7 linked regions of the Canis lupus familiaris genome follow. The protein of the gene in region 4 interacts with the protein of the main gene of each other region in a pairwise test. Links are inferred from orthologs where the notes say so. Each region holds a gene or a part of one and is shown on either strand. Other genes may lie near its edges.

Region 1 (4,625 bases), on a different chromosome or scaffold from region 4:
AGCTTAAAGGATAAACAGTAAATGGAACTAAAATTCCTCAACTATAGTATGTTTAGAATCTGCCCTAGGCAAAGTTAGGGACTTCATAGTTTGTCCTGGGCATCTTCCCTACTCACCTGGTAGCATAACAACTTAAACTTTTAGGTACTAAGATACCTCAAATCTAGTATCCCCTCTTCCATACCATTCTGAACCAAGTATCAGTCACATATACCATACTTAAAGTGCTTACATCAAAGCCCTACTCATAGTAAATGCTATTACTTGTTGGTTATTCTTGCTACTTTGATTGTCACTTGCACTTACATTTTAAGTCTCCTTAATTTGGATTAAAACACTTTGTCCCTATTAATGGAATCTGAAATATCAGTAAACAGATGTAGAGAAATATTTTGGGAAATTCCTGAAATAAGACTTGGTAGGCAAACACCTACTCGTCCAGTCTAGTGTGCCTTTTCCACTAAGTAATGGCTGTGTGCCCAGGAAGCAATTATCAAACTTTCTCTGAACACCAAAAGAAGATACACCTACATGGTCAGCTGTGAAGAATTTTATATGGCTCATAAGCGCTCAAACATCAATTGGACCTTAATGTACATGGTAATTAAATCAATACTGGAGCACCCATTAAGGAAGTTAATAAATAGATATGCTTTAAACAGAAGAAACATACCAAAATTGAAAACACTAAATGGTGATAATTCCACTCAACTGATCTGATACTCATGCCACCTACCCCTCTTTACTACTTCTGTTGTTGATCTGAAAGTTTCTTCCTCTGTAATTATTTAGTTCCCTAACAAAAATGGAAACCAAAATACCAAGACAGTCTCCTCAGTTAAAAGAGAAAGGAAATTGTTTAACTGCTAAGAGTTAAGGGAGATGAGGGAAAGAGTTGACAATATAAAGCCCTAAATTTACAGAATGCTTATTTGTCTGGTAATTTCTTTCTTTCTTTTTTTTTTTTTTTTTGGTCTGGTAATTTCTTACGTGTTTCAAAACTCTTGAAGAACAAAAGAACAAGGTCATAGAGGCATATGCCATACAGATTCAGAAAACTTGCTAAGAAACCAAATCATGTTTTTCCACTTCACCACCTTCCCAGTGATACATCACCATCACCATGCTCTCTTGCTTTGCCAAGACCACACCCTGTCTCTTGAAACAAACTGCTTGGACTTTGCTCCACCCCTACTTCTATTTGGCAAGGGGGGTGGGGAGCCTTCAGAAGAACAACTACCCAATACAAATCAGTTTGGAACCCATCAATCCCTGTCTTGTTTCTGGAAAATTTTTTACTAGATAGAACATCAGTCTTGGAATACAGTCTCCCCTTTAGTCCTTTCTTAAATAGGAAAGATTCCAAGCCCTCATCACAATAAAGAAACTTGAGTTTCTTTAGACTTTTTTCCACTTCCCAACTCTTTGCTCTTCCTCCTGCATGAGCTTGCTAAAGCTCACAGTCAAAATTCGCATCTAAAATAAAGAGGCCTGCAAGAGAAGCTCATGTAATCCCACTCCTTAAATATCACTGAGACATCTGAGATATTGTTTAGATTGTGGACTCTTACTTTGACATGCCAGCATAGGTAGATGGACAGGCAAGCACATCAGATGTCACTGTTTGGCAGCTGATAAAAGTCAGTGGCGCTATAATACTAAGCACAGAGCCACTAGATTAGTCTGTGAGGGAAGGGGTTGCCTCTTCCTTCCCTTCAGTAGTGGGTTAAACCCAGCTGGCACCCTCTGGAACGACGGGTAAGTCCCATCTTTATTTCTGCTACAGTTTTGGGTTTTGTTTTTGTGTTTCTGTCCAAATCAGAGGAATGTGCACAAAGATGATTTTCACATAAGATGTTTGAAAGTCACAACATCATGTTGTTATACAGAAATGTGAGGAGAAAGTAACTTACTCATTACACTGAAACTGGAAGGCATTATAGAAAAGGTACAAGGAAAGATGGTCATGTGTTAGTATTTTTAAATCATTTTTTCTGGGATACTTGGTCTGACTGTAATTGATGTCCTGGGAAATACCCTCAATCAGTTTTTGTGCAAGTCTGAACTATATTAGAAAGAAAAAGTTAAGATTTTTAAATAGGAAACTGCATAGTATTTTACTTATAAAATCTTTGAAATGTATTTACGATTATTTGGAATAAAATGATACTGTTGTGTAAAAGAATCTATTATAGAATTAAGTCTGGACAGTGACTACAAATATGAAGAAAAGCTTCTCAGAGTTATCTATTTGAGCAACTGCATAAAATTTTGTTGAAACATGGGAACAATGAAACTTTTGAAAGAACATATTTTCAATTGAGCTTTGAAAATAACAGTAATTGTTAACTATGCTGGCTGATACCAAAATGTACAAGATAGTTGATATTCTAAAAACATATATTAAAAAAAAAACAGGGAACATTTGGAAAATATCTACTGGCTATTTGTTAAACAGTTTATTACTTGCTATATGAAATGAATCTGAATGATTTGCCTTCCTAAAAAGGAATTTAAGAACCAAATTTGAATTTGATTCTGCAATGCAATGAATAAGCCCATAACTATAAAACTACTGCCTTGAAATAGAGCCCTTTTTTGAGAAGATCTAATTAAAGCCTCCTTCTGGATGTTTTCCTCCAACAATTTAAAGGCCTAATATAGTTAATTACTAAAATGCACTCTAATTGAACATGTTTGTGTTCATAAACTTGAAATTAAGGAATATATGGATTTTTAAGTGTTCTTTTTCAACAGAATCTTCCTCTTCGCTGTTAAGTCACATTTGTTCTTTCCTAAAACTGCTAGTTTTAATTTAACTCTAAACTACATGCATAGCCTTAGGATAAAGCTATTTGGTCTGAATTTTGTTCATTAAAAATGATACGTTCTTCAAGATAGGAAATTAAACAACTTTAAGATTTCATTTTGATGATGACAGGTTAGCTTTATCAATTAAAAGTTTAATTTATCATTATCTCAGAGTTGGCTTATACTATGTAAAATTAAATGTATTTTGAACTAAATTACCTGATATTTTGATTAGAGACAGAATTAACGCCACAATTCATAGGGTTAGTCTGTGTGTGTAATGTCTACATATAGTTCCGCTTAGACTTACCATAATAATGGAAGAAATCAGAGACAAATATAATCCTTCAAGGTTGATTTTAGGGGCAAAAGATTCATCTAAGGAAAAATGGGGATCATAGGAAGTCAGAAGAACCAATGCAGAATTAAGTCAGAGAAATAGCACCCATCCTTTCTGGTAAGGCATAACTAGCTTCATACTGCCTTACATCCTTCTATACATCCTTGTCTGCCATTTTGGGAAAAAAAGTAAAAGAGAAGCTGAAACAATTTCAGAATTAGTCTAAAATACACATGAAATATGAAAAAATAGAAAGCAAACTAAGAATATTGACAGCAATAACTAGATAATCTAAAAATAACAAGAATTTATATAATGCTCTGGAATAGACATACATACATACACAAAGAAAGACACAGATTCCTTAATTATCATTTAGTTTGGCACTATGGTCAATTTGGAATCAAGGAAAGAAAAAGAGGCAGTACATTGAAAGGTAAAAAAAAAAAAAAAAAAAAAAGATTACACTCCAAGTTGACAACAATGATTTATACATGTTCCTTCTACTTTATGAAATTCTAAAAGGATGAAGGAGTAAATGCAGACGCTCATGTTCTTTATAAAAAAGCTTACTGTTCCCCTTGATTTACCAGGACATCATTCATCACAGATCACCAGGACATTAATTAACTGATGTATCAGAAGAGCTTTCATTGGTCTTCATGAGCAACAGGAAAAATACAGACTGAATGGGAGTTGACATGTTAGATATTTAACAGCTAATAATTTAAATCATTAAATCTCTGTGGTTAATAAAACTGAATCTTCTGGGCAAAAGTTAATCTTAAAACCATAAAATTATCACACTGAGCAACATCACAGAACTTCTTTCCGTAAGTAACCAACCACTTGGCAAACTCAAACTTCCCACTCCTTTATCTTGAAAGTCACTGGGCATGCTTTAAGAATTACCCAGAGGCAAACAAATATTAATAAATCATTTCTTCTTGTTCTCAGGAGAAAAGTCATTTGTACAAAGACAGAGAGCTAAAGGAAGAGGCCTAGAAGCCAGGGAAGTTCCACCTTGAGGTGACCTTGAAAGCATATAAGAAAAAAAAAAAAAAAAAACAAGCTGTATACGCTCCTAAAGATGTAAAACAAACAATAGTTTTTTATGAAAATATTTTAACTGAATCTTTTTTTTTTTTTTTTTTTTTTTTTTGCCTTTTGAAGGAACAATATTCTTCAAGAGAAGTCTACTCCATCAAAGACAGGAACACAATATTCCCAAGATCTCAACGAGGGGCAGACCAAGACTGCTTCTGATTCCTTGGGACCGTCTGTGATTCCAGGCTTGCCATCCCAAATTAAGGACCCCACCCTTCCAGGAGCAAATTATTACAGTAATAAATTGCCTTCATCTTCCATATATCAGCTAAGCATGTTTAACTACGAACGTCCAAAACACTTCATTCAATCCCAAAATCCATGTGGCTCCAGACTGCAGCCTCCCGGACCGGAAACCTCCAGCTAT
Region 2 (3,644 bases), on a different chromosome or scaffold from region 4:
CAGGGAAGAAAGAGTCCGTGATCTGGGGGCTCTCAAGTAGTAATATTTTTAGGACCTTGTAACTGACCCCCGGAGACTCTTTCTCCTTTGCCCAGATGCCACCTGGACCTTTCCCAGCCTTCCCTCCCCATACTCACAACCTTCAGTCTCTGCAGCTCCGACTCAGGTCTCGAATAAACCCCTGCTGACCACACACGCACACACACACGCACTCACACATGTGTGCATGTGCACATACAGTTTCTATAGGACCAAGGAGCCTGGGTCTTCCTTGCTGGGCACAAGCGCCTCTGACCTTACCCCAAATCCCCAGGTCACCCTTTCATCATGACCGTGGGCTGTGTGGCCGGTGACGAGGAGTCCTACCAGGTGTTCAAGGATCTCTTCGACCCCATCATCCAGGACCGGCATGGGGGTTACAAACCCACCGACAAGCACAAGACTGACCTCAACCATGAGAACCTCAAGGTCAGCTGCCCACAGGGGAGGGGAGGGATGGGGAAGAGAGGGAGGATGACGGAGGTGGGAAGGGATGCTCCAAGAGGCAGAGATGGAGGGCAGGAGGGACAGAGAGGCATGCAGGACAGACAGGGAGACCAGGACACAGCGGGGGAGACTCAGATGGGAGGAGAGACAGGGAAGAGATGAAGAGAAACCGGACGCGGGACAAAAATGGGACGGGGGAAAAGAGATGTATGGAGGAAAGGGGCAGATGAGAGGCTGGGAGAAATAGGGAGGGAGAGGCCGAGAAGGGAGAGGCCGAGCCAGGGTGGTGGTGGGAGAAGCCAGTGGGCAAGGAGGAGCCGAAGGAAGTAGCAGAGTCAGAACTGGGAGCCCTGGGTGGGGGGGCCAGGGAGGACATGGGCTTGCAGTGGAGGGGCGGCTTGTGGGGGCCGTGCCCAGCCCTGACCCCCCTCCTGCCCTCCAGGGTGGAGACGACCTAGACCCCAACTATGTGCTCAGCAGCCGCGTCCGCACGGGCCGTAGCATCAAGGGCTACACACTGCCCCCCCACTGCTCCCGGGGCGAGCGCCGGGCAGTGGAGAAACTCTCCATAGAAGGTGAGAACCCCACCCTGCCCACCACTGGGTAAATCGTGGGTGCTTGATGAGTGACAGCTGGCAGCATTACCCCTGCTGGAAGTCTGGGGGCGCTGTCAAGGAACCCTGAGCAGATCCATGCAGACTTTCAATTGCACCAGGGTCCTGACCTCCATCCATCCATCCATCCAACCAGCCAGCCAGCCAGCTAACCAGCGTTTACGGTTGTCATGGTCCTGAGTAGGGGGCCGGGGCTCCCATGATGAATAAGATGGACAAGGTCACTGTTTTCACAGAGCTGTCAGCCTGGTGGGGAGATAAGAAGAAACACAGAAACCAGCAAAAGAATGATTAATTCCAAAATGCCGTGTAGCCGAGAAACAAGGGTGCATCATAGAATGGCTGGGGGGAGCTCCCTGAGAAAGGAGGAGTTGATTGACAAAAAGGAGCCTGAAGATTTCCAGGCAGGTGGAGCAGCAAGTGCAAAGGTCCTGAGGTGGGGAAGTGTGTTGGAGGAAGAGCAAGGAGACCAGTGTGGCCAGAGCTGAGCAGACCAGGGGAGGAGATGCAGTCAGAGGAGTATGGGTGGCCTGCTTGTGCAGAGCCTTGTGGGCCATCAGGGGGGCTTTGGCTTTGACTCTGAACAGATGAAAGCCATGGGAGGATGGTGACTGGAGTAAGTTCAGACTTACATGGGCAGTTTCCTGGCTGTTGAATAGGGAACAGACTGTGGGCAAAGGTAGGAGCAGAGAGGCTGTAAGGGGCAACCACAATGGTGCAGGCGTGGGGTGAGGGATAGGCAAAGGGATGGAGAGAATGAGCGATATATTTGGGAGGTAGGATCATCAGGACTCGCAAGCATGTTTGTTCTAGTAAACATCTAACAACCAGCTCTTAAGAAGAAAAAAAAAGCCCCAATTTGTAGCGACTGCCAGTTTCCATGGTATAAATTCTCCTGCCACAGCCAACTTTAAACTATGAACATGATATCATAGAGAGATGGGAAAAGATACACATCATTACATACTATTCCCACCAAAGGGATAGAGATGAAAAAAGCTTCAAGAACATAGATAATAAAGATGTAGTAAAATAATTAGGAAGTGATAATTTTGGATATTTATAACCTATGGCAGTGTTTTGACTTTATTTATGTTTTATTTTTATTTATTTATTTTTGAGAGAGAGAAAGAGAAAGAGAGATAGAGAAAACGGACAGAGGGAGAGAGAGCATCTTTTTTTTTTTAAAGACTTTATTTATTAATGAGACAGAGAGAGAGAGAGAGAGAGAGAGAGAGAGGCAGAGACACAGGCAGAGGAAGAAGCAGGCTCCATGCAGGGAGCCCAACGTGGGACTCGATCCCTGGTCTACAGCAGGATCACACCCTGGGCTGAAGGCGGCACCAAACTGCTAAGCCACCCGGGCTGCCTTTTTTTTTTTTTTTTTTTTTTTTTTGAGAGAGAGAATCTTAAACAGGCTTCACTCCCAGTGCAGAGAACCTGACTTGGGGGCTTGATCTCACAACTCTGAGATCAACCTGAGCTGAAATCAAGAGTTGGATGCTTAACCAACTGAGTCACCCAGGCACCCCTTATTACCTGTGTTTATAAAATAATTTATTTTATTATAAGTTTATATAATTTTTTAAAGTAGGCTTCGTGCCCAACATTGGGAGTCACATGCTCTACTGACTGAGCCAGCCAAGCGGCCCCAGATAAATTATTTTTATTGTACTTTATTCTTTAAGATTTTATTTATTTATTCATGAGAGACACAGAGAGAAAGGCAGACACAGGCAGAGGGAGAAGCAGGCTCCCTGCGGGGAGCCCGATGCAGGACTCGATCCCAGGACCCTGGGATCATGACCTAAGCCAAAGGCAGATGCTCAACCACTGAGCTACCTAGGTGCCCCAATAAATTATCTTTAAAAATATAGTATATAATATGTGATACATAACATTATATACTACACTATATTAAAATGTATAACATGTATATAAATACATATTGTATATTGTGCATATATACATAGTAAACATTTATTCTACATATGGATATATACAAATACTATAAATGCTATTTTATAATAGTTTTTCCTGTTGGCTCCCCAAAATCCTAAGATTTTGATTGTCTGTCTTCCAGCCAGTCGGAGGGGCTCCAGCACACTGCTGGTCATAGGTGGATAGGATGTGAAGGTCAGGGAAAGGGCAAATCCATGTTTCCTGGCTGAGCACATGTCTTGGCTGCTCCCAAAGCCTGGGAGAGGTCGCAAATTTGGGTTTCATCCTAGTGTTCAGGAGCCATTAGGACATCCACGGGAGCATGCCCCAGGCTTGTGTGGGCAGCAGGTTGGGGTCCCCAGGCCTCCACGCCCAGGTTGTGGTGGAGCAGGTTGCTGACCACTGCCTTATATGGCCCCTCAGCCCTCAACAGCCTGACAGGCGAGTTCAAGGGGAAATACTACCCTCTGAAGAGCATGACCGAGCAGGAGCAGCAGCAGCTCATCGACGATCACTTCCTGTTCGACAAACCCGTGTCCCCACTGCTGCTGGCCTCAGGCATGGCCCGAGACTGGCCCGACGCCCGCGGCATCTGGTGAGTTC
Region 3 (4,002 bases), about 2.1 Mb from region 4:
TTTTCTCTTAAATTATTTCAGGCCCTCTTCATCCTCACTAAGTCTGGGCAGATAGCCTGGCAATCATGCTCACCTTCAGTTTTTTTTAAAAAAAACGCTTGCTCAGGAAGCAGATTGCTCTTTTGTGATTTTATAAGTTATCTTTCACTTTCTATTAAGAGTAAGAAGAAAGCATTTTCTTTTGAAAGAAGGTTTTCTTTAGAAAATCCGATATTCGTCCTGGCTTACCAAAGATTCTAGTTTTTACTATATGGACCTCAAGGCAAGAAGGCCAGAATGTTAAAATAATAGGGTCTCTTTAGCTGTATGAGAAAAAGGATCGCTATGACTTTTTCATGAAATTCACTGGCTTTACCTCTGATGGACTGCTTTTAGGTAGTATCACACAGATTGCCATCTCGGAAGAGAGCATGGAAGAGGCAGGGCTGGAATGGAACTCCGCTCTCACTGCTGCTGTCACCATGGCTACAGAGGAGGGTGTGAAGAAAGACTCAGAGGAAATTTCAGGTACTTTTCTATGTGGCTCAGATATCTTGCAGGGTTTTGTTACTCTTCTCACCATTATGATTAGGGACACAATAGGTCTCTTAATTACTTTTGCTGATTTTTCTCATATTGATTTAATTGTAGCTACAAACATTTTATTATAATCCATGCCACAACAGCCATGCACAGTCACATTTTACATAGGAAAAAAATTGAGATTCGAAACGGTTCAGCAGCTTGCCTAAGACCAGTCACCCAACCAATAGTATCAGAGCCAAATTCAGCTGTTTGACTCTGTAGTCAGTGCTTTTCATCCTGTTTAACTGCCTCCAACTTTGGAACATTTCTTAGATAAACCAAGCTGCAAGATGTTAAAAGAAAAAAATTAGGTAGCAGGTGGTGTAGAGGATGGTGATTCATGATGATTCACTTAGAGGGGACCAGGAAAGGTTTCACATTATCCTCCATTCATTAATTCACTTGAAAAATATTTATTGCTGCCTATTTTTAGTTGGCACTGTTGTCAACATAGATGAAAAGACAGCCTCTGCCCTTAGGGAGCTTATAATCCCACCTATTCAACTGTTTTACTTTATCTTGTAAGTATAAGACTAGAGAGAGTATGGTTGATCCTTGAACAATGTGATGGTTTGGGGCACCAACCTCCTGTACAGTTGAAAATCCGAGTGTGGGACGCTAGGGTGGTTCAGCAATTGAGCATCTGCCTTTGGCTCAGGTTGTGATCCCGTGGTCCTAGGATTGAGTCCCACCAAATCGGGTTCCCTGCATGGAGCCTGCTTCCCCCTCTGCCTATGTCTCTGTCTCTGTCTCTCTCTCTCTCTCTCTGTGTCTCTCATGAATAAATAAATAAAATCTTAAAAAAAAAAAAGGAAAAAAGAAAATCCGAGTGTAACTTGACCCCCCTGCCCCCCCCAAAACTTAAGTACAAGCCTTATCGATAACATAGTCGATTAACATACTTTGTATGTTATATGTATTATATACTGTAGTCTTACAATAAATTAAACTAGAGAAAAGAAAATGTTAATAAGAAAGTCGTAAGATATGGGCAGCCCAGGTGGCTCAGCGGTTTAGTGCCGCCTTCAGCCCGGCGTGATCCTGGAGACCTGGGATCGAGTCCCACGTCGGGTTCCCTGCATGGAGCCTGCTTCTCCCTCTGCCTGTGTCTCTGGCTTCTCTCTTTGTGTTTCTCATGAATAAATAAGTAAAATCTTTAAAAAAAAAAAAAAAAAGAAAAAAGAAAGTCATAAGATAAATTTACATCACTAGACTGTATTTATTGAAAAAAATCTGTATATAAGTGGACCTTCACAGTTCACACTATGTTGTACAAGGCTTACCTGTATATCTCTAACTTAATGTATTTATTATTTAACTTTTAAGATATTAAATACTATTAAATTTTAAATTAAATGATTTAAATAAATAATACTTAGTATTTATTTAATATATTTTTTAAAGATTTTATTTATTTATTCATGAGAGACACACATAGAGAGAGAGGCAGAGACACAGGCAGAGGGAGAAGCAGGCTCCATGCAGGGAACCCGACATGAGACTTGATCCCAGGTCTTCAGGATCAGGCCCTAGGCCAAAGGCAGCACTAAACCGCTGAACCACGCAGGCTGCCCTTATTTAATATCTTTATTGGAGGAAGATAACCCACTCCCTGTAGCCAAAGCCATGACAAATTTAGGCAATTACCTCAAGTCCCTATGATGCTGAAGAGGCCAAATAATTGGGTACCAACTTAGAGGGGCAGCTAGTATTCCAAAAGCTTCTTCCTTTTTCCCAGAAATGGCTCAACAAGAAATCATTTCAGATTAAAATAATTTCAAGTTTAACTTGTAGAGATGTGCCTAAGTACCGTAGCATCTCTTATTTACCTTCTGTCTTATCTCTCTTGTGTCAGAGGACACTTTGATGTTCTGGAAAGGAATAGCTGATGTAGGGCTGATGGAAGAGGTTGTCTGCAATATACAGAAGGAAATAGAGGAGCTACTCAGGGGAGTTCAGCAGCGGCTCATTCAGGCTCCCTTCCAGGTAACAGGTAAGTGCCCTAATTCTAACAACAGTGGTCATTATTGAACACTAACAACTGTAAGCAGATCCTGTTAGCCTCATGAAAACACTGGGGTATTATTATCCCCATTTTAGAGATTAGGAAACGAAGGTTCGTACAAGTTGTTTTTTTTTTTAGTGTTATGTGCTGCCGAAGCGAGCACAGGTTCGTACAAGTTAAGTTACTTGTTCAGAGTTCATAAGAAGGTTTTGAACTCAAGTCTGGTCATACTTTTTCCACAGGTAATTTTTACTTTTATAAATGGTGCCAGAAAGGAGGCTTTCTCTCTCTGTTACATATATATAGATAGAGTCTGAAAATTGGAGAAAGCTACCTGGTTTTAGACAAGCCTCATATTCTGTCAGTTTAGGGTTTCCAGAACTATTATTTGCACTTACAGCTGTGTCTGAATACCCTTTGGGTACTTCCTGCTATGCATAATGTAAAAGGATATTCTAATCATCTGATACAAAAGGGTCATGATAATGGGGCGCCTGGTTGGCTCAGTTGGTGGAGCATGTGACTCTTAATCTTGGGGTCATGAGTTTGAGCCCCACATTGGGGGTAGAGTGTATTTAAAAAAAAGTCATAATAATATCTCATAAGCTTGTGTGTCAGTGAGTTCCTAGATTTGTTACTTGTGTCTTATTACCTCTTTATAATTCCTACATTATATAAATACACTTAAACTTTACAGTAAAGTCTTTTTTTTTTTTTATGTGCTTGGTGGAATAAAAAAAGCAAGTAACATAGAAAGCAGGGATGACTCTTTTAGATAGGGTGGTCAAGGAAGGCCTCTCTAAAGGTGGCATTTGAACTGAAGAAGCTAGCCATATGATGAACTGGGAGAAGGAACATTTCAGGAAGAAGGAACAAAGACCTTGAAGTTGCAATGGGCCTGATGGGTTCAAAGAATTAGAGAAGCATGGAGGCAGCCACAGTATAATAGGGTATGGGAGAGTGATAGGTGATGAGGTTGAAGGGCAATAAAGAGGATATTTTAGATAAGCTTTGGTTAGAATTTTTTTTTAAGATTTTATTTCTAGGGATCCCTGGGTGGCGCAGCGGTTTGGCGCCTGCCTTTGGCCCAGGGCGCGATCCTGGAGACCCGGGATCGAATCCCACATCGGGCTCCCGGTGCATGGAGCCTGCTTCTCCCTCTGACTGTGTCTCTGCCTCTCTCTCTCTCTCTCTGTGACTATCATAAATAAATAAAAATTTAAAAAAAAAAGATTTTATTTCTATTCATGAGAGGCACACAGAGAGAGGGCAGAGATACACGTAGAGGGAGAAGCAGGCTCCATGCAAGGAGCCCATGTGGGACTTGATCCCAAGACTCCAGGATCATGCCCTGTGCCAAAGGCAGATGCTCAATCGCTGAGCCACCCAGGTGTCCCTAAACTTTGGTTTTATTTTAAGGTGATGGTAAGCTA
Region 4 (4,002 bases):
CAATAAGAAAATTAATATTGCACCCAAATATTAGCCCCTCACCTCGAGTATCGACCTCTGAAGAGCAGGTTTATGCTTGAACCCTTCGGGGGCCTTTCTACACAGTCAAATGGCTGTGAGAGATGCCCTTTATTGAGGGTCTGCTCTGTGCTAGGCTCTATACATTCATTGCTGATAGTTGCCCTGATCCCAGTAGCTCTGGGGTAAAACCAAGGCTCCGAGAGGTGAAATCACTTGCCCAAGGTCACAAAATGAGTGAGCAGCAGAACAGTCTGGATTTAAACCCAGATGCTGATGCCCGGGCTTCAGGAGAATGGGCATCTGGCATGGCAGTGGGCACAGGCACCAGACCCTCAGGATCTTAGCTCATCTCTGCAGCTACTGCCATTCCAGAGCTCCCTCCCGGGGGGGTAGAGACAGGTGGCAAAGGAAGACTCCTGCCAGCATGGGGAGGGGGGGGCCCTGCGATAAAAGATGAAAAAGAGATAAGTCTGAAAAGGGACTTATTTAAAAACCTGGGGAGATAATAATGTCTGGGGTGTGGCCAGTTGTGCAAGGCTATTCAGAGGTGAGGCATTGACATAGACAAGGGACAGTCACCATTTGACATTTGTGAGATGCTTGCTGTTTTAGGGACTGGGAAAGCAGAGTGGGAAAGCAGAGGTGATGTAGACATGGTGTTGGCTCTTAATGATATGTCTAGATGAAGGGGTAGGACTTAGACACAAAAAACTGAGCCTCAGATAGGAAGCAACTGATGCCCTGCGAGAAGCATAGATAACATGCCAGAGGCCCCTAAGTAGAGAACCAGACCGAGGGAGAAAAGCATTCTAAGAATGTGTGTTTGGGAAGGAAAAAACTCTGAATGCTGGAAAGACTTTCTGGACTTTAAGTCAAGGCTTGAGCTGAACTGTTACTCATCCTTGGGCTGCCTGTGTTCTGGTTGTGTGACTTGGGGCACACACATTTCTTCCCTCTCTGTGCCTGGGGGCACCCTCATGGTGTGCTTACTGGTATAGTCTCTCCACCTGTATTGAATAACCACCTCCTCCATGACACACACTGTACACTGCAAATTCAGAGGTGCCGGGAGCAGGCAAGTTTCCCTGCTTTGATGCGGTTACAGTCTGATGGATTAAATATAGAATTAAGTGAGGCCATGAGTATAAATTGCTTTGCTCAAAGTTAGCCTGCAGTAACCAGGAGTTACAGGGACTATAATTAGAGCAAATGCACTCTTGCCTCCCCTGCCCTGACTTGATGGGTGACCTTGGACAAGTCAGTTCACCTTTCTGGGGTTCAGTTTCTTCTTCTCAAAAATATCTCCAGTTCTGGGATTCTACAACCTTTCCCATGTTCATCACTGGAGTTTGAGTCCAAGGATATGAGGATAGCCTTGGTGTCACTGGCTTTCCTGGTTCTGGGTATCCAGAAAATGAAAAGGACTGTGTACAGCCAGTCACTGAGGGCTCAGGCCATAGATCTGGAGTTGCCACCCAGAGCTGGGGTGGGGGGAGACAGGGACTCGGGACCCCCCCCCCCCACTGTGTGACTTGTGATTCTTCTGCAGTCGGCCCCTGCAGAAGGGCAGCCACCCCATGTGCAAGGAGCATGAAGACGAGAAAATCAACATCTATTGCCTCACGTGTGAGATGCCCACGTGCTCCATGTGCAAGGTGTTTGGGGCTCACAAGGCCTGTGAGGTGGCCCCCCTGCAGAGCGTCTTCCAGGGACAAAAGGTACTGGCTTATACCACTTCTACCCCCAGCCTGGGCTTGTGGGGCATGGCCAGATGATTCAGGATGTAGATTTGATCCCTGTAGATCTGCTGAGCCGGCCTTTCAGGAATAGTCCCTCTGGAGGGACTTCCCAGGCCACAGGGACAGCAGCCCTTGCCTTCCTGGGGGAGGTGGCTGAGCTCATGGGTTATACTTAGAGCCACTTGAGAGCACCTGGGTGTGGCCACAGGCGAGAGACCAGACCCCTGGGCCAGGCCACCAGGGTCCTCTCAGGCCATGACTTCTACATCCCAGTGTGCTTGGGGCCCCAGATACCTCTTCCTGTGCTGGTTACCTCTCCTGTAGCAGAAAAAGTAGCTCAGAGCCCTCTCCCTGGCCCTGAGGCCTGTGGGAGTCCATAATCCTGCCCATGCAGTAAGCTATGGCCCCTCTTTCTGGACACTTCTTCCCTGCCTCCCACTCTTCTCTTGACCTCTCTCTTCTAGAACTCTCTATTTCTTTTTTGTATCTCTTCGTTCCTAAAAACAAACCCCTCCTCTGACAGTACATTGCTGTTTGTATTTTGGTCATTTCCCCTTTCTGGGCCTCATTTGTAAAATAAGGGATGTAGTATCTCTAGAGATGTAGGCTTTTTCTAGCAGAGAGGGGAGTGAGGGTGCCATTCCTGAGAAGACAGGCCCTGGGACTATTTCATCTCTCTTCTCCTTTTTTTTTTTTTTTTTTTCATCTCTCTTCTCCTGATCCCTCACCCCCTCTCCCATCTAGACGGAGCTGAGTAACTGTATCTCCATGCTGGTAGCGGGGAATGACCGGATGCAGACCATCATCACTCAGCTGGAGGACTCCTGTCGAGTGACCAAGGTGAGGGGGAGAAGAGTTCTGTCTAGGGGTCCAAGGCCTCTCAGTGAAGCCTGGTTCTCTGGGGTGAAGGCTCCGCTGTGAGCTGTGGCTAATGGTTGGGGCCTGGAGGCTGGGGTGTTCAAGCAGGGGTGGTGGAGTGGAAACCAACTAATCTATTCATCCACTCACTCACCAAATGCTTCTGGAACACAGCTGTGTGTCGGGCCCTGCCAAAGACGCTGGGGCTGGAGTGGTGAACAAGACAGACCAATCCCTGACTTTAGGAAGCATGCCAGCAATAATTCTCAGTATTTATTCAGCACAAGTAGTTTTCAGACCACTGTCTTCAGTGTGTTGTAGACTAAAGCTTCTCAAACTTTAAAATGCGTTCAGATCCCCCTGAGATCCTGTGAAAATTCAAATTCTTATTCAGTAGATCTGGAGGGAGGTATGAGGTTCTGCATTTCTTTCTAATGAACTCCCAGGCTTTACCCAACTTGTTGGTCCACGGACCACACCATGCAAGACTACATAGAGGCAGAAGGAAACTTTTCTATCTCTGAAAAAGAATCCATGATTTTTCATTTCCACTTGAGGTGGGGCCTAGAGATGAGGTGGGGGGGAAAGGGTCATCAGACTCCTGATGAACGAAGAGCTGTGTGAAGGATGGCTTTGAAGGAAGGAGGGGACTACTCATGAGATGCTCCCAGGCTGATAGAGGATACTAGAGCCTCCAGTCTGGTGAGATATATTATTATACCTATTTTGTAGGTATAGCATCTGTGTTGGAGAGAAGGGAGCCTCAGTGAGGAGGCCACTAGAGGAGTCGCTGCTTCTCCTTTCTTACTAGAACCAACTAGAGCCTCCTGAATCCAGTCTTGATCCTAAAATAGGGGCCAGGGGTATGTGTGGTGGGGGGTGACTTGGGAGGCCACAGAAGGCCCAGACTGGATCATCCCATCTGATCCTGGAGTCTCTATTTTTGAGGAAAGGGCTAGCTTTCTCCACGGCACTAGCCTCCAAACGTTACTGGTATGCTAAGTAGCTACGAGACCTCAGCAAATCCTTTCTTTTTGCCAAGACTTCATTTTGTCTTCTGTAAAATGGGGGTGTAGCAAGATCTCTTCCAGCTTCAGACTTGTTATTCCTAGCACATCCATCCCAGGAAAAATGTGCCAGGGAGAGGAAGACTCCCTAGGGTGTGACTCTGAGATTTCTGTCCCCAGGAGAACAGTCACCACGTGAAGGAAGAGCTGAGTCAGAAGTTTGACGTACTGTATGCTATCCTGGACGAGAAGAAGAGTGAGCTGCTGCAGCGGATCACGCGGGAGCAGGAGGATAAGCTCAGCTTCATTGAGGGCCTCATCCAGCAGTACCGGGAGCAGCTGGACAAGTCCACTAAGCTGGTGGAGACGGCCATCCA
Region 5 (4,486 bases), on a different chromosome or scaffold from region 4:
TGGAGCCTGCTTATGTCTCTGCCTCTCCCTCTCTCTCTGTGTCTTTCATGAATAATTAAATTTAAAAAATCCTAAAAAAAAAAGAGTTCTTCTAAAAACAAACAAACAAACAAACAAATAAATAAAATACACAGAGAGGAGAGAGGCAGAGGCACAGGCAGAGGGAGAAGCAGGCTCCATACAGGGAGCCCCATGTGGGACTCGATCCCTGGTCTCCAGGATCACGGCCTGGGCCAAAGGCAGGCGCCAAACCGCTGCGCCACCCAGGGATCCCCATAACATAATTTTAGACCACAAAATATTAATAAACACACACTTAAGCGCCTTTTGTCTGCTTTTTATAAAAGTTATATTTTAAGTATGACTTTTTTTTAAAGATCGCAAAGACAGAAGTAGAATAAATCACATATAAATTACGTAAAAGCAGAGTTCAGAGGTATGCTCTTTCAAAAGTAACATGTGTCTTGCAAAAATTAAAAACTTTGTATTAACACAGAAATCTAACTATGGTGAGCATCCTTTTCTTCCCTTCAATCCATTTTTTCCAGAAGTCCCTCGGCTGAAAGTTTCGAGTGAGTTCCTCCGGATTTTTTTCTTTTCTATGTGGTCTATGAGAAAAGCCGTATTGTTTTGTTCTGTTTGTGGGTGTGTGTTTTGTTTTCTCAGAAAGGAGTTGCAATGTCACAAATCCGAGATTAGGAGTTTTCCTGTTCTACAGTGCGCAGTGGGCGCGTCGCCGGGAACGGGGAGCAGCAGCTTCTCTCTCACGTTCCTCTGGGAATTGTGGCTCAAGGTCGACGACTCCGAATTCGACGTTACTGTCCCGGGGCGTCTGGGCGCACATGCACAGTGCCAGCATCAACCGCCAACGAACGGAATCCATGTTCTCTCCACCCAAGTAAGTAGTCTCTAAGCTGTTCCTTTTTCTCCAATTCCCTCGAAGTCAACCGTCTGAATCTACTTCAACCTTTTCGAGAGAAAACCGTGATCAGCAGCTACCTCACAGTCCCAGCAATCCGCGCCGCTGCTAGGGCCCCGGGGCTCCCATCCCCGGACACGCGGCCGCTGCGCCCCCGGCCCGCGCGGCAGCTCCGAGCTCGCAGTGGATTCGGGGCGCCCGCGAGGCGTGAGGAACATCGGCACTTTGACTCTCACGAGTGAAAGGGGAAGCTGGACTGTACCGCGGACGCACCGGCACTGGCCACGCACAGCCAGGTGGGCTGAGGCACGCGGGCACCCGCCGGCCGCGGGCACAACCACAGACCAACGGCGCGTGAAGAAGCTGCTCTCCGCCAGGAGGCGGCCGAGCGCCACGGCTGCGGCAGTGCGCCTGCGCCTCGGACGCCGTCGCGTCCCCTTTTACGCTTGCGTGACGCGACCTAGCGTCGACTGGAGCTGGAAGATGGCGGCTTCCGCGGTTTGCCGGGCGGCGGGCGCCGGGACGAGGGTGCTGCTGCGCACCCGCCGCTCGGTGAGGCGACAGCGGGAGCACAAGGCCGCGGAGCGCGGGGCTTCGGCACGCGGACGGGAGCGGACTGTTTAGCCGCGCAGGGTCACCGTTGGGGAGGTTCCGGGGTCAGGGCCGTGCGAAGGTCACGGCGCTGAGCGGGGATTGGCGTCCTGCGGCGGGCCGGGGCGGGGGGGCTGCGACCGGGATCCCACTGCTGGCCAGGGAGCCGAGGTCAGATCCCGCAACCGAGTCCTCAATCTCGGTCGTCCCTTTTTAGCAGTCGTCCCTGCTGAGGTCGCCTGCCTTGCGGAGCACCGCCACCTTCGCCCAAGCTCTCCAGAGCGTGCCAGAGACACAGGTCAGCCTGCTGGACAACGGGCTGCGAGTGGCCTCCGAGCAGTCCTCCCAGCCTACCTGCACGGTGAGCCGGGGCTCCCCTCGGGAGGCCGCCTCCCTACTGCGCCTGGCGTCTTTTCCTAGGTCAGGGTGTGACCTTGGGCTCAAGTCCTCTGTGGTTTGGGTCAGACTCCTTATTCACCACTGAATTGACTCTACTGCCTTAATCCCGACCCCAGCTAGGCCCCACTTCTTGGAGGCATTCCTTACTATAACTAGCACACATTTAGTATATGATGCCTGCCAAGCCAGAGGCCAGGTTTTTTTTTTTTTTCCAGCGTATTCTTAAGCACCTCAAAGGAGAGAAGTGATCCTGTTTTCATTTTACCATGAGGAAAATGGGTTTCAGAGACATAAGGTAACTGCTAGAGTCACAGCCCAAAGTCATAATCTCCTGGCTAGACTACTTACGGGCCTGCATAAGGAATGCATTTGAAAATTCCGAAGAAATTGATTTCTTCCAAAAAAATACAAATCCCCCAAATTGACTTAAAAGAAATCTTGGTTAGATATATGAATAGATGAGAAGATTCTGAAGATGTAATCCTCTTCTCTGCACTCTAAATGCCAGGGTGCAATAAGACCAATAAGTGGTCTTATTAGTAAATTCCTTCGGTTTTCCAGGAACAAATAATGTGCTTTAAGTTGTTACTGAATGCAGCAAAAAATCATGGGCAACTTTTGTATTACGTGGCTCTTATATCCAAAGCCTGTTTAGAAAGTTGGTGAGAGAATGCTGTATTTCACGGACTCTGAGAAGCTCTAATTGTAAGGGGCACCCACTGTGTCCCAGTGGCATATAAAGAATGCTGCCTATGATAATCAAAGACTACCGTGGGTTGTAAGATTTAAGTTTTCCTTCTGAGATGTTAGTTGTGAAATAGATGTTAGCGTAAGAATTTATGTTATATTGTATGCCTATCAACATCTCTTAGGAAAGTAGATGTGAAAATTTTAAATCAGCTGTGAGCAAATATTAAAAGACTAGATCTATGTGACTTGTGTGGGATGAGTGATGTGGTGTGTGTTTCATAGCACACCAGGAGGCTGTTGAAGTAATGATGAGATTCTCTCATTGGGTGCCAAGGAGACATTTGACAGTGTTAAGTATCCAAGTCTGGTTAAAAACTTAAAAAAAGAAAAATTGTGAATGAAGGCTCCTTGCTTAATAAGATAAAATGTTCAGTGTCTAAACCAATAGCCTGGGCAGCCCCCGTGGTCCAGCGGTTTAGCGCCGCCTTCAGCCCAGGGCCTGATCCTGGAGGCCCGGGATCAAGTCCCACGTTGGGCTCCCTACATGGAGCCTGCTTCTCCTTCTGCCTGTGTCTCTGCCTCTCCCTCTCTGTGTCTCTCATGAATAAATAAATAAAAATTAAAATAAATAAATAAACCAATAGCCTTCCTTAATGGTGAAAGACAAAATTACCAGAACAAAGGCAGGGTATAATTTTTAGAAAGCAGAAGATAAGTTGTTGTTTGCAAACAATGTGTCGATTGCCTAGAAAAAAATAAAAAGAGTCAACTGAAAAGCAAGACAATATAAGAATTTCATATTGGTAATGGGGTTAGGTGAGTGTGCACAGAAGCTTTCTTGGGAACCAGTCTACAAATAGAGTGGGAAGGAGAAGGGACATGGTATGTCTTTGAGCCCCTGCCTGTGCCCAGGGCACAGCTGTATCTCCAAGCACATGGGGTCCTACTGAGACAACTCTCCCCCAACCTTGGGACCGTGAGCCCTGACCTGGGGCTTCTGTTGAGTCTTCCAGGATTAGGCATAAGTGGGGGCTGGGGTGGTTTGTGTGTTACCTTTGTTGATGGCTTCTTGTCCAGGTCGGGGTGTGGATTGATGTTGGCAGCCGTTACGAGACTGAGAAGAACAATGGGGCAGGTTACTTTCTGGAGCATCTGGCTTTCAAGGTGAGGCTCTTGAAGTCCTGCATCTCCCCTGGGGTTGGGGCTGCCTGGTGTCCCTCCTGAGGAGGATGTAGGTTCACAAAGTCAGCTTCCTCAGTTATGGGCTTCAGTTGGGGGGCGATCTCTGGCTGGCCTTTCTGGAAGGAATCACATGGGCTTAGCCTCTCCTGAGTGAATATATATCTGGTCAGCCCCTGCACAAGGCCCCCAGCGCCTGAAAGAAACCCAGGGAGACGCAGGACCCCACTCCTCACCAGAGAGGCCGGGCGTGCGTCATACACATGCATTGGTGCAGAAGTGTGGAACACGTAGATAGATGTTAAGATATGTATTTGAACAAACTTGTAGACTTGGGCTGTCAAGCGTTCTCGTGAAATGCTCTCTGGCCGAATACCTGGGCATCTCTTGTTTCTAGAAGTAAATACTGAGCTTTCCTGAGGTTGGAGATAGTCTTCATCCTTAGCCCCTTAGCCAGTCCATGTTGTCATGAAGTCTGTTTTTTTAAAAGAATGAAAAAAATGGAGGAGGAGATATAGATGGGTGGGGGCGTGGAGCAGGACCATGTAGATAGCCTAGCCAGCAGCAACATCACAGATGTGTGTGCAGATCTCAAGATGGATGTGTGTGCCAGTGGACACACGCACACATACACGTACAGGGCTGGTGTTGAGTCCCACAGAGGTTGCACTAGTACACACACAATAATATGAATGGCTTGGGGTTAGA
Region 6 (4,579 bases), on a different chromosome or scaffold from region 4:
CCTGGCCCTGAAGGTGTCCTTGAGGAATAAAGTTTCTCTCTGAGCTAGAAATGGCTGCAAGTCTGCTACCTGGGGGTCCGGTGTGAGGGAGATGAGAAGACTGAGGGGAGAGTCCCCCAAAGCCACACCACACAGCAGGAGCAGAGCTGGGTCTGCAGTAGGGGGCGTTCCCAGCTCTTATGCCTCACACGCAGGGTGTGCAGAGATGCCCAGACCGAGGTCCAAGGAGAGAGACATGCACACACACAGAGACAGCCAGAGACCCACAGAGAGGGAGAAAAGACAGAGATTCCTAGAAAGACCTGCAAAGAAAGGGGAAATGGAGAGGCCGATGTGCACAAAGCACATCAGAGACCACCAAACAAGGCAGAAATAGGGACTGAAAGAGGGACAATGCAGAGACATGGAGGAAGACACGGATGCAGAGCCAAAGAAAGACATAAATGAGGTCACACACATTCATATGCCAGTAGACAGATTCACAGAAATTGACAGATTCACCCCCAGAAATGCAGAGACAAAAATGCATGGGGAGACACAGGGAGTGAAAACACAGACTCGGAGAGACCCAGAGAGACAGCCCCTGGAGAAATGCCCAGAAAGAGAAACAGAGATGATAGGCAGGGAGAGACAGAGACACTGAGAAGCAGGAGGGGTGGCTGGCTCCCTTAGGGTTCAAGGTCGTGGCCGGCTGTGGGTAAGGGTAAGGGGGGCAGGAATACCCAACAGCTCAGTGTCAGATGAAGGTGGGGGAGTGTGAGGTCATGGGCCTGACACCACACCCTCTCCCCTCCCCCGACCCACACCTGCTTCCCGGCTTTAGCGCCTGTTGTCACCAGGATGGAATCCTGGTGGCAGACAAAGGGGTGGGGGTGGGAGGGGGTTGACAGAGACAGAGACAGAGACACACAGGTGGAGGGTCCCAGAGACAAAGGAGAGATGGACAGTATCAGAGATGCAGAGAGGCCCGAAGAGACACAGAAACTGGGACAAGAGCCTTATAAGAGGAAGCACCCCTTGTGCTCTTTTTGTCAGTAAGTATTCTCTGAGGACCTACTGTGTGCCAAGCCCAGGGACTTCAAAGCATCGGGTTCAGCGTGCTGTAAGGGAGGTGGGGAGCCCGGAGGTTGGAGGTCACCTGACCCAGTCTAGGTGCGAGGCCATGCTGATGGGGTGAAGGGGTCCCTAGACCCCCAGGAGGTGCCAGGATCCTGAATATGCAGCCAGAGCGGGGGCAGGGCAGCCTCTGAGCTGGACTCTGGGTCTGAGAGAGGAATTCTCAGGCCCTCCCTCTCCCCTGGGGGGCGGGGCTGAGACTCCACTATAAACCAGGGGTGCTTCCACTCGCAGGGTCAGCAACAGATCTGCCCTGCCCATTTGCTCACCGACTCTGCAGACTCAGCCTTAGGTAATGGTCTCCAGGAGCTTCGTACTGGGGGGAGATGGGGGGGGGGGAGACGACAGGAGGGGTGGCTACGGAGGTGGAGGTGGTACAAACTTAAGGCTTGGGAATTCCTGGGAAGTTCAGGCTTTATGAGGCCTGAGGACAGAGGTATTAGGATTTGGGAGTTATGGAGTCTGGGGGTGCCGAGATTGGGGTGTCCCAGAATATAACACCTTCAGACCTAGGAGCTCAGAGGGAATCTCAGAAATTGGGGATATCTGGGCTTGGACATTTATGGGCTGGGTGTCAGGACTGGGAGCCTCAGACTCTGGGGATTTGAGAATTGAGGTCTCCAGGTCTGAAGCCATATGATTGGAGGTACCAAATTTTGGGGCAACATGAATTGTACCTCTGAGCTTGGGCGTCTAGATTTTGGGGTCTCAAGACGTTGAGGCTTTAGAATGTAGGTGTCGAGACCTAGAGCGTCAAGATCTGGGGATGTCAGCCCAGACGCTGGAATCTCAAGAATGGGGTTCTCAGAATCTGGAGACATGAGGCCTTGCTTGTCCCCAGAAACTAGGGGCATCATCAGTTGGAGGGGCTCAGGATCTGTGGGTCTCAGGATTTGGGGGTGCTCTTAACCTGGATACTGTTGGTCCTGGGGGAATCCCAAAGATGATGTGGTGTCTATGTAGGAGTCAGGGTGAGATGTGTGGACTTCACTGCTCTTGATGAGTCCAGCTTCCTTCAAGGCTGTGGGTAGGGGGCCAGGAGGGGCCAGGTGGGAAGATAACCAGATAGGGGGAGGGGGAGGGGTGGAGAGGGAGCCTGCGTGACTAATTCTCCCAGGAGCCTCCCCCCTTGAATCCCTTCTTAGGAAATGTCCTCTGTTTCACCATCTACGACATCCCCCCAAAATAGCCTTTGGGGGGTGGGGCAGCTATTGTCTTCAGGCCACAGTCCCTTCCCAAATACCTTCTCCTAATCTCCACTCAGATCAGGTTCCCATGGACATGTCATAAGACAAAGGAGGACAGCTGTGGTGGTGGAGGGGCAGGAGCTGCAGCTTTGGGGCTGTGCTCCCCCCACACCTCCCAGAGCCCTTTCCCTGTCAGGGCTCCCAGCCCCTCCTTCCTGAGACTGGGGAGTCCAGGCCCCCAGCCCCTCCTCCCTCAGACCCAGGGGTCAAGGCCCCCAGGCCCTCCTCCCTCAGACCCAGGACTTCAGGCCCCCATTCCCTCCTCCCTCAGACCCAGGACTTCAGGCCCCCATTCCCTCCTCCCTCAGACCCAGGACTCTGGCCCCCAGCCCCTCCTCCATCGGGACCCCACCTCAGTCGCATGTTCTTTGGTCCTTAGGTGACACAGGATGTCGGACACCGAGGAGCAGGAGTATGAGGAGTGAGTGGTGCTGGTGGGAGGGCTGGGGTATGGAGAGGTGGGACCCTCTCCCACCTCCAACACGCTAACCCTGCCTCTCTGTCCTCTTCCTGTGTCCTCAGGGAGCAGCCCGAAGGTGAGTGGGGAGTGGGTGGCCCTCGGTGGCCTGGGGACACGCGCGGGAGGCCCGAGGACAAGGGTCGCCCATCGCCCCCGGCCACCCGGGGCGGCCACCCTCGGGGTCGCAGCACCCTGGGCGTGCTCTCTTGTGGGGTTCTAACCCTGCCTTTTCTGCCCCCTGCCCTTCCAGAAGAGGAGGCTGCGGAGGAGGAGGAGGAAGGTGAGGCCTGGACCCGCAGGTCTGCGGCCCAGGCAGCCCCGCGGGGCCGGGGCTGGGTGGGGAGGGGGCGCTGGGCGTGGCGGGGCCGGCGGGCACGGGGCTCCCGACCGCCCCGGCTTCAGGTCCTTTAACAGCCTCTACCCTTTCTTTCCTCCCTGCCCCCCCCCCCCGCCCCCCGCACCCCGGCGTGGCCGCTCCCCCTCGCTACCCCCTCCTCGCTTCTCCCCCTGCCTCCTCCTCCCCAGCCGCCGAGGAGCCGGAGCCCGTGGCAGAGCGAGGTAACCGCGGCTGCTTCGCTTCCCGAGACGGATTTCCTCGGGCCCCGAGCCCTGCGAGGACCCCTGCGCCCGCATAACCCGCCCAGGCCCGGTCCTTTAAGCTCCGGAGAGCTCGCGCGCCCTCTGGTGTCCACGAAGGGAAACGGCCTCGCCGAGGCTTTAACCCATTCCCTTCCTTCTTAAAGGGACCGACACCCAAGCCTTCTTCCCCAGCCTGGAGGAATTCTTGTAGAAGGGTTGGATGTTTGCGGACAGACACCCCCACCCCACCCCCATCTAAGTCCCCGACCCTGTCACTTTTCTCCTTCATATACATTCAAAGGTTGGGGTGTGAGTTGCAGAAAGGGCTCTCCCTGGGCGTCTGGATTCTTGTGTCCCCAGAGGGGAGGGGCTGGGGGCACCCTGAAGTGCTAGGTGTAAATGCAGAAGAGCAGGAGCTTTGGTATGTAAGAGGAAGGTCTGGGGGGGTTGGAGCCCTGGGTTCCCAGAGAAGTGGGAGGGGGACCCCACACCAGTTCTGAATGTATATCTGATGCGTGTGATCCTCCTCTTCCTGATTTCCCTTGTTCCCTCTTCTCCCCCCCTACTCATGCCTCTCCCCCAGAGCTGCTCCTGGGGTCTATGGCTTGGAGGGGAGTTCCCTCCTCTGGGTGTATCAGGCCCACCCCCATGAACTCTTGCTAATTATCTCTTTGTATCTCCCCACTAGAAGAGGAGCGTCCCAAACCAAGGTGAGATCCTAGGGGCTAAGCATCCCAATCACATCCTCCTAAATATGTACCCCCCACCCCCAGAGACAGGGTGTAAGAAAAGCAGAAAAGGAGAGTGGGGCCCTTGAAGCAGGAAAGGGCAGGGATTTGTTCTGTCAGCCAATTGTCCAGAGAACTTCCCTTGGTGTTTGGTATATCAGAACCCATCTGCTCTGTTGGTGAAACAGACCCAGATACAGTGAGGGTAGCACACAAGAAGGTACTATGTTTGCCCTAGGCAGTCAAGGAAGGCTTCCCAGGGGAGGAGGTGATGCTAGAGTCCTGAGGGATGAAGAGTTCACTAGCTGAAGGAGGTGGGAGGGATATTGTAAAGGAGAAAGCTTCACAGGGTGCATGCATGGTGCAGTGGTTGGATTCAGGCCAGGCTTTCAGGGAACAGACAGAGACACAGGTCATTCTGATGATGAGAGTCCTAAAATAAGCAGATC
Region 7 (3,491 bases), on a different chromosome or scaffold from region 4:
TGGAACCCCCTACTTTCCTGGCTGGTCCAGCTGGACAGATGATTGGTCAGAGAACAACACCCCACCCCCCAGCCCAGCCTCTTGTGAGGGAAGGTCGGTGGAAGGTCTCTTGCCCAGGAATTGGGGGGGAGGCAGGAGAGACCTGGCAGGCTCTGACCGTTCTTGGGGTCCCACAGTCGGCCTGGGGGTAGGGCTGGACTTCTGGGTCACTGAGGCCACGCTGGGATCTCCGTCTCTCTGGCTCCTCACCTGCCCCACCACACTCGCTAGGGGCAGCACAGAGTCAGATTGCGGGCAGGGGCCACCACCCTCCCTACCCCGCCCCCCTCCCTGCCAGCCGGCTTCTGGGGGGAAGACTTGCATAGAGCCAAGGTGGGGCAGGGGTCCTGTCTTGGTCCCGCCCAGATATGTGACCCTGGGCGGATCGACCTCTCTGGGCCTCCGTTTCCTGCTTTGTAAAAATGAGACTCGTTATGTTGTAGGGCTGTCGGAAGATTAAAACCAGAATCAGGCCTAGTGCTTCAGGAATCAAGAGGACGTAGTTCTGCTCCAGGCGAGCACCCACGGGGCTTACCAGCTGCTGGGTGCTCTGCTGTTTCTGCAGGATCCTCTTCTCAGCTCTTGCACAGCCTCTTCCGGTGCCCTTTGCTGTGTCCACTCAGTGATGCCCTTACTTGTCCTCCCCCCATGCCCAGCGCCCTGTGCGCCAGTTCCCTGCACCATGAGCTGCTTCCCTTGAATGCTGGGCTTTCCCAGAAGCTCCCCTGCTCCCCCGAGTAAGAGCCAGGCCCCTCCCAGGTGGCACAGTGGAGCCGCTCAGGCTGTTGTGAGCAGAAAATGAGGCCCAGAGAGAGGCAGAGGTGGCTTCTTGGTCACCAGACTATTTACAGCTGGTTTGGGGCGAGAGCCAGATCTGACCCTGCCACTTCTTGGAGCCCCTGGATTCCCATCTCACCTGCCTTGGGGTGGAGTTGGGGATAGAGCTGGGGGCCTCCTCCCACACTTGCTGTTTGCACCCTGACTGGCCTGACCTGGGAAGCCACTTTTCTGACCACTGGCCGTGGGAAGGCTGACAAAGGCTCATGTGCAGGGTCCCGGTGCAGAGTTAACCACATTATTTCATGCCAGTGTGGTGGTGGCAGTCGAGGACCAGGTCTCGCTGCAGATACCTGAGAGTGGTTATACTGTCCCTTCCTGTCGCAGGGCATGGCTAGGGGCTCTGCCCTTGTTCCCAGGCAGAGGAGAGCAGTGGGGGCAGGACCCGATGGCCTGGTACAGAGCCCAGAGTGGGCCTCGATTCCTGCCACTGTCTGCTCTGTTTTCAGACAGGCCCCTGCCCTCCCTGGGCAAGAGGAAAGGGGCGGGGCAGAGAGCTAGTGCCAAGGTGGCACGAGGCTGGGCATGTGCCTGGCCTCAGACAGTGTCTAAGGAGTGTCAAACACCTGGAGGTGTCACTCTGAGGACCTCTGCCCCCACTGGAGCATCTTGATCTCTTTAGAAGCTGACCGCTGACCCCAGGCGGCAGCTGGAGTCCAGGTACCCCAATCCCCCACCCTGGACCCAGAGTCCCCCATCAGTGAGCCTTGGCTCTGCTTATAGCATCTGACGCCAGAGGGGCTGAAAATAGCCCCTGGAGGAGGTGGAGGAGGGGGCTATTTAAAGGGCCTGGGAGGAGCAGAGCCGGGAGGGAGTGAGCACCGATCATGGCCACTACAGAGCTGAGCTGCCAGGTGTCCGAGGAGGACCGCGAGCGCCGAGAAGCCTTCTGGGCTGAATGGAAGGATCTGACGCTGTCCACACGGCCTGAGGAGGGGTGAGTGCCAGCCGGCTGGGAGTCCCTCTCCCCCAGAACACCCCTCCTGAGCCTCAGGAGGCCAGAACACAAAGCCCTGCAGAAGTTTCTGGGGGTAGGGACAAGGAGAGGGTACCCCTTCTGTATCCCAGGTCCTGGAAGTCCCAGGGAGCCCCCTGCCCAGCTCATTAGTAGAGGGTAGCAGATTTCAGGAGCTCAGTGTCCCCTCCCGTCTCCTCCCCAGTTGCTCTCTGCACGAGGAGGATTCTCAGCGGCATGAGACCTACCACCGGCAGGGCCAGTGCCAGGCGCTGGTGCAGCGTTCCCCCTGGTTGGTGATGCGTATGGGCATCCTCGGCCGCGGGCTGCAGGAGTACCTGCTGCCCTACCAGCGGGTGCTGCCACTGCCCATCTTCACCCCCACCAAGATGGGAGCCGCCAAGGAGGAGCGCGAGGACACCCCCATCCAGCTGCGGGAGCTGCTGGCCCTGGAGACGGCCCTGGGTGGCCAGTGTATGGAGCGCCAGGATGTGGCCGAGATCACCAAGCAGCTGCCCCCTGTGGTGCCTGTCAGCAAGCCCGGTGCCCCTCGTCGCTCCCTGTCCCGCTCCATGTCCCAGGAAGCACAGAGAGGCTGAGAGGGACGGTGACCTGGGCTCCACTGCGCCCGCCGCGGGCTGGGCCCTTCCTGGCTAGGACCATGGAGGGGAGCTGCTGGCCATGGATGCTTTGTAGTTTGCCCAGAGTTGGGGGCTAGGGGAGGAGGGAGCCAGAGGCCAGGATGCCTGGGTCCCCTGAGTTCCCAAAGGGAGGGGAGCAAAGACAGTGGCCACGAAGGGTAGGGAGCTGGGGACCAGCACAGCCAAGTGCCCGCCAGCCCTAGGAGAAGGGACAGAAGATGCCGGGGAGGACAAGTGGTCCCTGAGGGGAGTGACCCTGGTCCGGGCCCCGGCTTCAGAGAAGATGAGGATGAGTGTAAGGGGATCTGGAATGCTCTAGGAAGAATTGGAGGAGACGGGAGTGAGGGGGACGTGAAGAGGGCAGAGGGGAGAGTGGAGCCCCCAGCATCCTCTGTTAGCGCTGCAATAAACGCTCAATTGTGTTCCAGACTTTCTGTCTCTTTCCTTATGGGGGCCAACCCCACCGTGTCCGGCCCTCGGTGCTCACTTCTGGGAATAGGCCTTGCATCTGAGCTAAATATGGCAGAGCCGGTGGGTACACTCCATGCTAGGTGGTGGGGGCAGGGGAGACAGGGACGGAGCTGTAAACAGGGTGGCTGGCTCTCCAGTCCCCTTTCCGTGCCCTGGCACTGGGCAGTCCCCGGCGGGCCAGCTGGCACCCAGGGTTTGTTTAAATGATCTCATGGAGTATTGGGAGGGGGCTGGCAGCAGGACTGTCCTTGGCTGTACCTAAGGGTGTGAGCGGGGTCACTGGCCCCAAGGCTGACCTGAGTTCTGAATCCAGACAGAATCAATCCTTGGCTGGGGTCAGGCACTTGACCCACACCACCCAGGGAGCCCAGGGTGGGTTGTGGGAAGCAGAGGGTCAGGTGCTTGTCTGTGACGCCTGTCTCAACCTGGTTGCCTGGTCCAACAAGGAGACATGTTCTCCTTAGGACAAGGTGGGGGCCAGGAAGCCAGGAAGGGCACAGAGGAGGCTAGGGCCCCCTCTGGTCAGGGTCTGAGGGACAGGGACTGGC

What was found.
Region 1: the proteins of TRIM63 (region 4) and MYOT interact in a two-hybrid assay, tested with the Homo sapiens proteins (2 studies listed by BioGRID). The link is inferred for Canis lupus familiaris from reciprocal best matches to the Homo sapiens genes TRIM63 and MYOT.
Region 2: the proteins of TRIM63 (region 4) and CKM interact in a two-hybrid assay, tested with the Homo sapiens proteins (2 studies listed by BioGRID). The link is inferred for Canis lupus familiaris from reciprocal best matches to the Homo sapiens genes TRIM63 and CKM.
Region 3: the proteins of TRIM63 (region 4) and GMEB1 interact in a two-hybrid assay, tested with the Homo sapiens proteins (2 studies listed by BioGRID and IntAct). The link is inferred for Canis lupus familiaris from reciprocal best matches to the Homo sapiens genes TRIM63 and GMEB1.
Region 5: the proteins of TRIM63 (region 4) and UQCRC1 interact in a two-hybrid assay, tested with the Homo sapiens proteins (2 studies listed by BioGRID and IntAct). The link is inferred for Canis lupus familiaris from reciprocal best matches to the Homo sapiens genes TRIM63 and UQCRC1.
Region 6: the proteins of TRIM63 (region 4) and TNNT1 interact in a two-hybrid assay, tested with the Homo sapiens proteins (2 studies listed by BioGRID and IntAct). The link is inferred for Canis lupus familiaris from reciprocal best matches to the Homo sapiens genes TRIM63 and TNNT1.
Region 7: the proteins of TRIM63 (region 4) and TCAP interact in a two-hybrid assay, tested with the Homo sapiens proteins (3 studies listed by BioGRID and IntAct). The link is inferred for Canis lupus familiaris from reciprocal best matches to the Homo sapiens genes TRIM63 and TCAP.

Annotation. Positions count from the first base shown.
Region 1 is NC_049232.1:25,616,520-25,621,144, forward strand, and holds the start of MYOT (myotilin), read left to right. Parts: upstream 1-1,603; 5' UTR 1,604-1,758; intron 1,759-4,108; exon of another isoform or gene 4,109-4,180; intron 4,181-4,324; 5' UTR 4,325-4,532; coding exon 4,533-4,625. UniProt on the Homo sapiens protein: Component of a complex of multiple actin cross-linking proteins. Involved in the control of myofibril assembly and stability at the Z lines in muscle cells.
Region 2 is NC_049222.1:110,923,164-110,926,807, forward strand, and holds part of CKM (creatine kinase M-type), read left to right. Parts: intron 1-313; coding exon 314-468; intron 469-928; coding exon 929-1,061; intron 1,062-3,464; coding exon 3,465-3,636; intron 3,637-3,644. UniProt on the Homo sapiens protein: Reversibly catalyzes the transfer of phosphate between ATP and various phosphogens (e.g. creatine phosphate).
Region 3 is NC_049223.1:71,208,476-71,212,477, reverse strand, and holds part of GMEB1 (glucocorticoid modulatory element-binding protein 1), read left to right. Parts: intron 1-375; coding exon 376-507; intron 508-2,419; coding exon 2,420-2,557; intron 2,558-4,002. UniProt on the Homo sapiens protein: Trans-acting factor that binds to glucocorticoid modulatory elements (GME) present in the TAT (tyrosine aminotransferase) promoter and increases sensitivity to low concentrations of glucocorticoids. Also binds to the transferrin receptor promoter.
Region 4 is NC_049223.1:73,297,097-73,301,098, forward strand, and holds part of TRIM63 (E3 ubiquitin-protein ligase TRIM63), read left to right. Parts: intron 1-1,570; coding exon 1,571-1,739; intron 1,740-2,504; coding exon 2,505-2,600; intron 2,601-3,805; coding exon 3,806-4,002. UniProt on the Homo sapiens protein: E3 ubiquitin ligase. Mediates the ubiquitination and subsequent proteasomal degradation of CKM, GMEB1 and HIBADH.
Region 5 is NC_049241.1:40,914,949-40,919,434, forward strand, and holds the start of UQCRC1 (cytochrome b-c1 complex subunit 1, mitochondrial), read left to right. Parts: upstream 1-1,316; 5' UTR 1,317-1,402; coding exon 1,403-1,471; intron 1,472-1,727; coding exon 1,728-1,871; intron 1,872-3,676; coding exon 3,677-3,763; intron 3,764-4,486. UniProt on the Homo sapiens protein: Component of the ubiquinol-cytochrome c oxidoreductase, a multisubunit transmembrane complex that is part of the mitochondrial electron transport chain which drives oxidative phosphorylation.
Region 6 is NC_049222.1:103,244,393-103,248,971, forward strand, and holds the start of TNNT1 (troponin T, slow skeletal muscle), read left to right. Parts: upstream 1-1,344; 5' UTR 1,345-1,408; intron 1,409-2,026; exon of another isoform or gene 2,027-2,137; intron 2,138-2,715; exon of another isoform or gene 2,716-2,742; 5' UTR 2,743-2,752; coding exon 2,753-2,784; exon of another isoform or gene 2,785-2,885; coding exon 2,886-2,899; exon of another isoform or gene 2,900-3,073; coding exon 3,074-3,103; intron 3,104-3,348; coding exon 3,349-3,381; intron 3,382-4,090; coding exon 4,091-4,112; intron 4,113-4,579. UniProt on the Homo sapiens protein: Troponin T is the tropomyosin-binding subunit of troponin, the thin filament regulatory complex which confers calcium-sensitivity to striated muscle actomyosin ATPase activity.
Region 7 is NC_049230.1:22,763,583-22,767,073, reverse strand, and holds TCAP (telethonin), read left to right. Parts: upstream 1-1,700; 5' UTR 1,701-1,703; coding exon 1,704-1,813; intron 1,814-2,036; coding exon 2,037-2,430; 3' UTR 2,431-2,889; downstream 2,890-3,491. UniProt on the Homo sapiens protein: Muscle assembly regulating factor. Mediates the antiparallel assembly of titin (TTN) molecules at the sarcomeric Z-disk.